2 linked regions of the Macaca fascicularis genome follow. The protein of the gene in region 2 interacts with the protein of the main gene of each other region in a biochemical or structural test. Links are inferred from orthologs where the notes say so. Each region holds a gene or a part of one and is shown on either strand. Other genes may lie near its edges.

Region 1 (5,786 bases), on a different chromosome or scaffold from region 2:
CGCATGTGCGCACACACTCATATCCACACACGCACTCACACACACAGGCAGTTCCTCGCAAACACTCCGACTCAAGAAAGCGAGTTTTAAAGTGGAGTTAACTTCAGAGAGAGGTGAAGATGATGTCCCAACATTAGAAGGTTTTTCTGTGGATGGATCGGGCACCGTCTTCCTCATATTCCTTCTTGGAGACCCACATCTTCTTAAAGGTGTCCAGGGAGGCAAGGATGGAGCCCCTGGAGGGAGGAAACCCAGAGGAACCGTGTGAGAGAGAAGTGGGTGTGTGTGGAGCCTACCAGTCCCCTGGGGCCAAACCAAATGAGGCTTTTCTTTAGAGGGATGGGGTGCTGAGGGGTTATCGGTGCCATCACTTCCTGTTCCGTTCTTACTCCCAGAAGAGCTACTCACCCAATCCACGTGGAATACAGTCTCTCCTGAGGTGCAGATATCTGCAAAGGGGGCGGGGAAAGAGAAATCTGAGACTTCCAGTCCTCCCACTCCCTTTCCCTACAACGCTTCTCCTTCTGCCCATGGCGGGGGATACATTTCACACAAGCCTGAAGCTCTGGCCTCTCTGGAGGGCACTGTGGCCAGCCTCCCACTCATCTGGGGAAGCAGGTTTCCAGTCCCCACAGGTCCCAGGGAAGCTGGGGCTATTGGGCAGCCAGGGAGAAGCAGACTCCGTGGCAGGGACTGTACTCCTTTCTTTAGGATCCCTACTCTCCTCAGATAGCCAACCCCCTTCACCTGTCACTAAGGTGTCAGACTGTGTGACAGGGTAGCCACCTGGGCAGGCAGCACAGCAACATTAAGTCAGTCTCCTCTAAAGATTATAGTTTCCCTGAAAGATCATGCAGGGGGCCCTCTACCTAGTACCCTGCCTCATCTGGGTATTAGAACTGCCTTCCTTTGGCGTGAAGAGGGAGAATGAGAACTCAGCCTCCCTGTGGCAGACCTAGACCTCAGGGTCAGTGTACAGGCTGGGAACCTGGTGCTGCCTGTAGAGCCATGGCTGCCTAAAGAGCTTGGGCAAAGCTAGAGGGAAGCTACACCAGGTGGGACTCTGTCCATGGAAGCCCAATTCCACCCAGGCCAGGCCCCACCATGCTCCTACCCTGATCTTCACATCTTTTGGAGCTAGTTTCTTCACTTCACTCAGTAGCCTGTCACCAAAACCTGAACAGGCAAAGAGGAGAACTTCAAGTCAATTCTCGGGGTGCCTGGAGCCAGCAGGAGCCGAACACTTCCAGGGCAAGGGCTCCAAGAGAAAAGACCAACCTTTGAACAGGGTAGAGCCTCCTGAGAGGACGATGTTGGAGAAAAGCGTGCGTCGCAGGTCCATGTCTGACTTCTGGATGGCGAACACCAGGACCTCGTGGATGCCTTCACTCTCCTCTCCAATTAAATCTGGCCTGAAGAGCAGCTCAGGGGCCCGGAATCGGGAAGGACCAATCTGTAGGTAGGAGGACCAGCTGAAGATGTTGGAGCTGGGACCAAGGTCCCTTTGGGAGTGGGAATGGAAGAGGCCCCTCTGCACATCACTTAGTAACTAGGTGGCTATGAAGGCCAGGCTCAAGACAGACTCTACATGTTAAGAGCTTAAAGGAACAAAGATAGGGCTCCTGGAAACTAGTGAGGGGAGGCTCCTATATTTCATTCTTGCTCTGGCATTTTCCAGCCAAGAGGTCTTTGGCATCAATTCATGGATTTATTTACTCATGGAAACGTCTTCCTAGCAATGGGGGTTCAAAGGAGTGGTAACTCACCCTACACTGCGCCCAGGTGTGGTGAAGGATAGCACTAACCATCCCACTTCCTAATCTCATACTGATGTGGGACAATCCCTTAGCAGCTTCCTCCCCTCTAGCGGGAGGGAGCAAGGTTCCTGCTGCCTCCTCTGCAGGAGACAGGGCCATTCATGCTCAGGAGCTCTGCTGCTCCAGACAGAGGGTGTAAAGCTGGGGTGTCCAATCTTTTGGCTTCCCTGGGCCACAATGGAAGAAGAATTGTCTTGGGTCACACATAAAATACACTAACACTAATGATAGCTGCTGAGCTAAAAAAAAAAAAATTGCAAAAAAAAAAAAAATCTCATAATGTTTTAAGAAAGTTTACCAATTTGTGTTGGGCCTTACTGCAAGCCATCCTGGGACACATGCAGCCCATGGGCCAGGGGCTGGACAAACTTGGTGTAAAGGGACTGGCCTGCCAGACTCCAGACCTTCATGGGGAATTCTGTTTGGGCCCAGAGCTTCTGTGGACCTAAGGGGACCGAAGAAAGAAGGCAGGCCACCTACCTCAATGGTGCTGCCATCAGGCAGGTAGTACTGAGCCTTCTCTGTCTCTAGCGTCTCATCCTTCTGGGGGTTTATGGATAGGTAGCAGGCTCTCTGCAGAACCAAGCAAGACAGTCAGGCTGGCAGGAAACCTGGTGCACACCCGGTCAAAGGCCCAGGGGAGGAATGTGCTGCTGCACAAACCTGTCTACACACTGTGATGGCCCCAGTGGTCACTATAGCTGCTGCCCAGAAGCAGGGGCAGGGAGGTCTCTGTTGGCCTTCACTGGGTGGCATTTAGCATACGAGTTCTTATCTGCTCCACCTTCCTGGTGGGCAAGCTTGGAAACTTGGCCTCTGGATCCTAGGTCTGAGACCACAACCTAAGTTCAGACCAGGCCCAGGCATCTTTCTCTTTCTACCACTCATATGGTTCTGGTCCTCCTCAGCTCAGAGGTTTCCCTATAGCCACAGGTGGCAGGAGGGTTCTTTTTACTTACAAAGACAAATGTTTTAAATGTATTATGACTTCTTCAAGGATGTTAAAAAATAAAAATAAAAAAACCAGGACTGGGCACGGTAGCTCATGCCTGTAATTTCAGTACTTTGGGAGGCTGAGGCAGGCAGATCACTTGTGGTCAGGAGTTCGAGACCAGCCTGATCAACATGGTGAAACCTCGTCTCTGCCAAAAATACAAAAATTAGTGGGGTGTGGTGGCAGGCACCTGTAATCCCAGTCACTCGGGAGGCTGAGGCAGGAGAATTACTTGAACCCGGGAGGCGGAAGTTACAGTGAGCCGAGATCGTACCATTGTACTGCAGCCTGGGTGACAGAGTGAGACTCCATCTCAGAAACAAAACAAAACGAAACAAAACAAAACCCTATGTAATTTGCATATTAGGTACAAAAAACATGCTGAGCCTCTATGTAGCCATCACCCAATTGAAGAAATGGAAGCAGCTCTCTTTCCCCCAATAAGATGGCAGCACGTCAGGAAGGCGAATCTGTCAGTGTGAAGTGGGGGAGACCTGGCTGGAAAGAACAGGGCCTCACCAGGGACCCTCAGGTAGGTGCTTCGCCTGGCTTTACTGGCAGGTGACCAAGGTCTTGGATGCTATGCTCCCAACCCCCACTCCATCCCTAGGCCCAGGGGGCAGCACTTACTTCTTTTATGGCCTTGACAATCTCAAACTCAGAGGATGAGTGGAAGTCGTAGCCCTCCTTACGCAGGTAGAGGCGCAGGAAGCGAGAGACGTCCCGGCCCGCGATGTCGATGCGCATGATGGAGTGGGGCATGGCAAAGCCCTCATAGATGGGCACAGCATGGGTGACACCATCCCCAGAATCCAGCACCACGCCTGTAGTCCTGCCTGTGGCATAACTGAAGCAAAGGGGCAAATCGTCACTCAGCACTGCCTCCTCACGCTGGGAGGAAATACACTTCTTTTTAGAGTTCAATGTCAGCTAAACTAAAGCTTGGGCCTGCCTCTCTCCAGGGGCTGTAGAATGGACTGGGTACTAAGGAAGCCTGGGTGTTGGAACAAGCCATGAAATACCTGAACGGAAGGAGCTGAGCTTCTCCAAGTTCCCTCCCTGCACCCAGAAGAGCAGGCCTTCCTGTCTGAGATGGCCTGGCCTTCAGCTGCTTCAGAGACCCAGCCTAGGGCCAGTTTTAACTCTCTAGACAAAAGGCAAAAACCCTCAAATGCCAACAGGGGCCAGGCAGGAAAAGTAAGAGTAAAGAAAAATAAGAATATTTTTCACTTCCATAAAAAATGAAGGCAGGAGAAGACCCTGCCTTACTGGTTTGAGAGCCTGGGGACCTTTGTCAGCCTCCTTCCAAAAAAAGGCAAGTGAGGCAACTGACCCCCTGCTCAGGGCGGGGAGGCCAACAGAGCATGGGCGCGCTGTGGGGAGGGTGGGTTTGCCAGCCCCATCTCAAGTGGCAGCCGCTCTTTAGCTCTAGCTGATTTTTGCCCTGTGGGAATGTGTGCCCGGCATTCCCAGATCTTCCCATTGTTTCAGAGAAGCCAAAAATTTAGATTTTGATGGGACAGCTCTTGATTTTTAAATGCTGGCTCACGATTTGTTAATGGGGTCAAATAAATCCCATGTGTAGGTCACTCATGGATTATCTCTGCCGTAGACCTCATCCTGGTATGAGGTGGGGTAGGAGTGTGACAGGAGCCATGGGGGATGGGAACAAGGACTGTGGTGGCATTCGGATCATGGTTGTCTCAGCAGCCTGGCGGAGCAGCCGGCCACAGTAAATACTGAATAATAAGCGGACACATTACAGGGGCCTCCGGGAAGAGCTGCTGCAGCATGTGGCTGCCTCAGCAGGCCCAGCCAAGGCCTTGGGCACCAAACCCACTAGGAGTCCTAACACTGGCATATGGTTAATAGCAGCCACATATCCTTCTTTGCTTTCAACTACGAAGCCTAAGTGCTCAGTTTCAGCAAAAGCCTCTCTCTCTTTCCTACCATCTTTAACCTTTCCCTAGCAGAGGGGGCTCAAGTTACTCTGAACCATCCCAGAGGGGAGTCAGCCTCAGCTGTGCCAAAGGACTGCTTTCCCCGCAGGGGCCGGGCTAGCCAGCTGCTACTCACAGGCTGAGTACAGCTTGCATGGAGATGAAAAGAGCGGGCACATTGAAGGTCTCGAAGAAAACTTCGGCAGCTCGTTCCCGGTTTTTGCGTGGGTTTAAAGGCGCCTCAGTCAGGAGCACAGGATGCTGGTGAAAGGAGCCCGGGAGACAATGAGGCCAAGGACAGATTTCCATCTTCATTAGTCTTGGGGGAGAAGACCCTGCCTTGCTGTTTTGAGAGCCTGGGGACTTCTGTCAGCCTCCCTCCAAAAAAAGGCAAGCTGTGCCTGTCACCTATCCCTACCCAAGTAGGTTTCTCAACTTTTCAAGTTAATGCCCCCTTTAAAATTTCATTCTGTCCTCAGCTGTGCCCTCCAACTCCCCTCTTTGTCCTCCAAGATTGTTATACAGGCCCCTGTGTCTACTGCATATCTCCAACTGTCAAGAAGATTTTGTGAAACTCTAAATTCCTGCCGCAGACCAGTACCAGTCTGTGACCTGTTAGGAACCAGGCCGCACAGCAGGAGGTGAGTGGCAGGTAAGTGAGCACTGCTGTCTGAACTCCACCTCCTGTCAGGTCATCAGAGGCACTAGATTCTCATAGGAGTATGAACCCTACTGTGAACTGCGCATGTGAGGGATCTAGGTTGGGCACTCCTTATGAGAATCGAATGCCTGATTATCAGAGGTGGAACAGTTTCATCCCGAAACCATCTGGCTACCCCAAGCCCCCACCCCCATGGAAAAATTGTCTTCCAAGAAACTAGTCCCTGGTGCCAAAAAGGTTAGGGACCACTGCTTTAAAAAAACTGTCTGAAAACAGCCAGGCACGGTGGCTCACGTCTGTAATCCCAGCACTTTGGGAGGCCGAGGCGGGCAGATCATCTGAGTTCGGGAGTTCGAGAGAGACCAGCTTGACCA
Region 2 (5,786 bases):
GCTCACCTTTTTTCCCTTCTTCTGGAAACAAGAAGGGCCCTCCAAGCAGAGCACAAACCCCAGAAGGAGGCTTTTACTCAGAGTTCCCCATGGAGACCAAAATTAGTTGTTTGGGGAAGAAAAGCAAGAAAAGAGACAGCATTGCTACGTGGGGATGGATCACGGACTTTTAGGCTGGAACAATGTTTAAGAAATCAATGGAGGCCGGGCGCGGTGGCTCACGCCTATAATCCCAGCACTTTGGGAGGCCGAGGTGGGCGGATCACGAGGTCAGAAGATTGAGACCATCCTGGCTAACACGGTGAAACCCCATCTCTACTAAAAATACAAAAAAATTAGCTGGGCGTGGTGGCAGGCGCCTGTAGTCCCAGCTACTCGGGAGGCTGAGGCAGGAGAACGGTGTGAACCCGGGAGGCGGAGCTTGCAGTGAGCTGAGATCGTGCCACTACACTCCAGCCTGGGGGACAGAGCGAGACTCTGTCTCAAAAAAAAAAAAAAAAAAAAAAAAAGTCAATGGATTGAGGGGCAGCAGGACAGAAGGTATGAACTAAGCCTCCTGAACCTAAGATGCACAGAGCAATGGGCCCTGTGATCCCCGCAGCTCAGTGGGGACAGAGGCCAGCTCTCAGCACCATCTCCAGGTGTGATCACACTGTTTCTAACCTCAATCCCAAACCTCAGCTGTGGGCCCAAGGAGGGGAGTGTCTTTCAAGCCGAACTGGCTTCCACCACACAACCGAGGCTGACCGTAACTTGAAATCTATGGGTTCTTTTAAATAGGCCAGATTTTATCCTAAAGGTAAGACTATGAGACTGGAAGCCTCTTGCCCATTTCTGGAAACACGCAGGCAGGCAGGAGCCACTGAAGTCATCTCGGAAAGTTACAGAATGCTTAGCTTTATTTCCAGGTTCTGAATTACAGCCATGCTGCCCAGAGGCTCTCTAAGGAGCACTGCATGAAGCCTATGTCTGTTGCTAGCTCGCTGACACTTGTCATTCTGGAGTAAAAGGGTCCAGGTGATAGGGCTACAGGTAGAATGGAAAACAGGGAGAAAATGGCCAAGACCAGCGAACATCCACCCAGTGAACTTCAGGAGCACCTCCAGCAGGGGAGTCACTGGGCCCTTCTCTCCTCCCTGTTCTGGCTGCACCAAGATTGGTCTCCACTCTACCAGAAGCAGCAGAAGAAACAGGCTCTGGAGCCAGGCTGCCTGAACACCAATCTCAGCTCCATCTGCCGGAGGACTTGGGCAAGTTGCTCACCCATTATAGGCCCCCATCGTCTCTTCCATAAACTGAGGATAACAGTACTGATTTCAAAGGGGTATTGTGAAGATTAAAGCATGTCAAGTGCAGAACCAGGTACCAAATAAGAGAAAAATCGCAGTCGGGTACAGGGGCTCACACCTGTTATCCCAGTGCATTGGGAGGCCGAGGTGGGCGGATCACAAGGTCAGGAGTTAGAGACCAGCCTGACCAACATGGTGAAACCCCGTCTCTACTAAAAATACAAAAACTAGCCGGCCTGGTGGCATACGCCTGTAATCCCAGCTACTCGGGAGGCTGAGGAAGGATAATTGCTCGAACCCAGGAGGCGGAGGTTGCAGTGAGCTGAGATCGCGCCATTGCACTCCAGTCTGGGCAACAGAGCGAGACTCCGTCTCAAAAATAAAAAAAGAGCCCAATCGCTGTTACTGATCTCATCTATCTTGTCAGCATTATGACCAGAACCACAGGAACCAATCAGCAAGGTCAGCTGACCACAGGCCAGGTCTGGGTAAGAGTGGAAGGTCATGCAGCTTAATTTTTTTTCTTTTTTTTTTGAGATGGAGTATTGCTCTGTCGCCCAGGCTGGAGTGCAGTGGCCGGATCTCAGCTCACTGCAAGCTCCGCCTCCCGGGTCCACGCCATTCTCCTGCCTCAGCCTCCCGAGTAGCTGGGACTACAGGCGCCCGCCACCTCGCCCGGCTAGTTTTTTGTATTTTTTAGTAGAGACGGGGTTTCGCCATGTTAGCCAAGATGGTCTCGATCTCCTGACCTCGTGATCCGCCCGTCTCGGCCTCCCAAAGTGCTGGGATTACAGGCTTGAGCCATCGCACCCAGCCGCTTAATTTTTTTTCTTAAAAATTTGTTTTAAAAAAATAAAGACAGGTCTCGCTGTTGCCCAGGCTGGAGTACAGTGACTATTGACAGGTGTGATCCCACTACTGATCAGTGTGGGAGTTTTGACCTGCTCCATTCTGACTTGGGCTGGTTCAGTCCTCCATAGGTAACCTGGTGGTCCCCTGATCCCAGGAGAACACCAATGCTGAACTTAGTGTGGATACCCAATCAGCATAGCCCACTGCAGCCTAGAACTCTTGGGCTCAAGTGATCCTCTCACCTCAGCCTCCCTAGCAGGTAGCACTACAGGCAGGTACCACCGTGGCCAGCAACATGTAGCTGAATTTAGAATCCTAGAATTTTCGAAGAACCCTTACAGACCAATTCTGTCTTTTAAGACATGAGGAAACTGAGCCACAGAGGCCAGCCACTGGCTGTATGTCACAGAGCTCCTGTGTGCTCTGCCCGGGACACAACTCACAGCCCAGTGCTCTTTCTGTCACTGGGCTGCCCTTCTTCTGACCTACAGTCTTTTGTTAGAAAAAACTGAGAAATGATTTTCATAACACAAAATTCACCCTTTTAATGTATATAATTCAGTGGTTTTCAGTGTAAAGATGTATTTTTTAGGGGGAGGGGTAGTCATGGGGTCTCAGTATGTTGCCCAGGCTGGTATCAAACTCCTGGGCTCAAGCGATCCTCCTGCCTTGGCCTCCCAAAGTGCTGGGTGTGAGCTACCCCATGGTTTTCAGCATATTTACAAGCTTGTGTAACTATCACCACTTTCTAATTCCAGAACATTCTCTTCCCCCACCAAAGAAGCCCCTGTATCGGTTGGTGGTTACTCCATGTCTTCCCCCTCTGCGGCCCCTGGCAACCACTGGTCCACCTCCTGTCTCTACCCTACCACCTCTTTTTCATATAGCTCTGGCCCCACCTTCAGGATCCAGCAGCTTGGTAAGTCCCAGTTCCTTTTCAGCCAGATTGAATGCATTCTGCAGATTATAGTGCGCATTACACTTCTTCAGAGACTCAAAATCCAGCAGGTCTGGCCTGGGTGGGGAGGAAAGACAGAAGGGATCAGAAACATGTGAGATCTTAAAGAGGAAGAGGAAACCCACACCAATCTTTATCCCTAAGTCACCGACCCAATTTTGTCCAGAAGTAGGCATCCCAAACCCACACTGCTGCTCATAGCCCCTCCCCATACCGCCTCCCCTGCTTCCCATCACAAGCGCTCTGTGCAGTCCTGCACCCCCACGTTCTGGTTCTGCTCCGAGTGCTATCCCTTCCTTCTGACTGCTGTGCAGCTCGTCTCATCTCTGTCTCCACATGTGCAGCCGAGGTCACTAGACGACCCCATCTTCTCACCGGTGTTTATGCACGATGGCGTTGAAGGCTAGTCCATCTCTCCAGCTGGTGGTGAAGTTGTGTACATTGACGTTGGGATAACTATAAACAGAGATTCGGAAAATGGTGAGTAGGGCTGAGCCCTGGTCTGTGATTCCAGGGCAGTCACCAGCTCATGGTTCCTGGAGCCCAGCACAGCCTGGGGGTCACTGACCCTCCAGTGCCACATGCCCAGGGCATCCTCACCCTGCAGTCTTCATCTGGCACCACAGAAGCAGGGCATCCTTGGCTGACTTCTTCTCCTTGTTGTCTTCTGTCTCCACACTGATGTCTTGGATCTAGGAAGGAAGCAAGCAGGGCCCTCACTCCCTGGACAGGAACTCCTGGTGTTATCAGAGATGCTCAGCTAAATGGCAGGAAACCACTCTTTAGACGGTGGTAATGGGGTGGACAGGCATAGCCTGAGGTCCTTTCAACCTAGGCCAGGGACCACAGAACACTGGGTGGAAGGGGTTTGAGGCAGCAGATTAGGGTAGGATGCTGAAGAATGGATGTGTCCCTGAGTGGAGGTGCTGGTCCCTCCAGGTGGGGAACTGCAGGCAGAAGAGTGAATCTTTTCTGAGAACTGGCTCTCCAAGGTGTCTGAAAGCTGGCTTTCCAAGGTGAAGCCGACAGAACCCGGGAAGGAAGAGGGTGATCAGGAAAGCTGTGATGACATGAGGACACTGGGGCATGGGAAGGAGGAGGGTGACTGTTCCACTGGGGGAGGCCAGCAGAGTTTATGGCAGGGGATTGGGGCCAGTGACCAGACCCTCTGGAAGTTCCCAAATCCCTTGTGGTGAAGGACCAGTTTGTAAAACTTCTAGTCCCTTGTGGACCAATACACAGAGCAGCGCACAGGGAACCTGCCACAGGGGTTTGCCATTCACCCACGCTGGTTTCTACCCTGTTGAAGGAGGGGAGTCCACTGATCTGGTGCTTGGATAGCACCACAATAGCAACTGCTACATAAGGTTCTAGATCCTCCGTCTTTGTGTTTGTTGTGTCACGGGCCAGCAGGAACGGTCTGTGGTGCAGAATCAGGGCAGGAACCACACCCTGTGCGACAGTGTGCTGGGGTACCTGGAATCGAAGGATGATGGTCCAGACCAGCCCAAGGGTCAGTCGGTGGTTTCCGTCCACAATGTCATGGGAGCCCATGTTTTCCAAGTGCACTTTCTGCTCCTTGAGGAACTGCAGTGCCTTGTCCACGTTCTCCAGGCAGTGGATCCGCATGCGGCCCTTTGTGGGCTTTGGCTGTGGAGGGACGGGGGCAAAATGGCACGGGACTGTGGGCTTCCACCTTCTTCCCCAGCCTTCCCAGGGCCCGGCTTTGCACACCTTCCCCATGACCTACCTCAGGAACACAGGCACAGCCCCAGGGCTGGAGCCAAAGCTGAGGTTACAGATGAGGCTTGGGCAGATTAAGATTCCCAAGGGAATTAATTGCACCCAGAGTAGGTGGAAAAAGAAATGTTTTCAATGGGGCCACTGTTCCTGTCTCCACGAAGCAGTGCTCCTATGTAATCCAAGTGGCAAAGGCGCTCGAAATGAACCCATCCTCTGAGCAGGGGGAGCCACTGCTTCCCGCCCTATGCCGTCACTCTCTCTGAGGGCTGTTCCTCCAGCTGGTCCCCTTGGACACTTTTCTGAGGCCCCCTCTTCCCTTCATGACCACAGCTCACCAGTGTCTCTCCCGAGAGCACCTCGAGGAGCCTCAGCAGGTTGCGTCCATCCCGGAGGTCGCTGTACAGGTCCCCCACCCGGCACGTGACCCGGGCCAGGTGCGAGTTTACCCACTTGGTGAAGGTTTTCTTCTGCACGGCTTCTCGTTCATCTGCGGTGGCAACATGGGGTTATTTCTGTCCTTCGAGTTCAGCATGCCTGCTTCTAAACACCAGTTGGCAGGGGTGGGGGATGGAGGAGCCTGAGAGATTTCGGGAAGCGGGGTCCTCCAAGGAGGAGGAAGGGAAGGCAGATGACCAGGAGGAAAGCCCGTAACTTGGAATGAGCTCATAAGCAAGGTAAAGAAGAAAGATGAAAGACAGAAAACAGGCTTTGAGAAGAAAGGATGAAGACCTTGGAAACCGTGGGACATGCAGGGAGGGGCTGGAGTGGGGCAGTCGTGTAAGTGGTGGAACACTGGTCAAGTGACTTCATCCATCAGAGCCCCAATGTCCTCATCTGTAAAATGGGAACATCACTTTCTACTTCAACAGGTCATTGTGTTGATTAAATGAGATAAGGTATATAAAACATCTAGTTGGTGCCCGGCACAAAATGGCTCCTTGGTG

The links.
Region 1: the proteins of SPTBN2 (region 2) and ACTR1A form a complex in vitro, tested with the Homo sapiens proteins (2 studies listed by BioGRID). The link is inferred for Macaca fascicularis from reciprocal best matches to the Homo sapiens genes SPTBN2 and ACTR1A.

What each region holds. Positions count from the first base shown.
Region 1 is NC_088383.1:111,490,368-111,496,153, forward strand, and holds part of ACTR1A (alpha-centractin), read right to left. Parts: intron 5,013-5,786; coding exon 4,888-5,012; intron 3,659-4,887; coding exon 3,442-3,658; intron 2,391-3,441; coding exon 2,298-2,390; intron 1,454-2,297; coding exon 1,279-1,453; intron 1,177-1,278; coding exon 1,115-1,176; intron 450-1,114; coding exon 409-449; intron 237-408; coding exon 134-236; 3' UTR 1-133. UniProt on the Homo sapiens protein: Part of the ACTR1A/ACTB filament around which the dynactin complex is built. The dynactin multiprotein complex activates the molecular motor dynein for ultra-processive transport along microtubules.
Region 2 is NC_088388.1:7,675,470-7,681,255, reverse strand, and holds part of SPTBN2 (spectrin beta chain, non-erythrocytic 2), read right to left. Parts: intron 5,330-5,786; coding exon 5,178-5,329; intron 4,750-5,177; coding exon 4,576-4,749; intron 3,792-4,575; coding exon 3,700-3,791; intron 3,556-3,699; coding exon 3,475-3,555; intron 3,157-3,474; coding exon 3,041-3,156; intron 1-3,040. UniProt on the Homo sapiens protein: Probably plays an important role in neuronal membrane skeleton.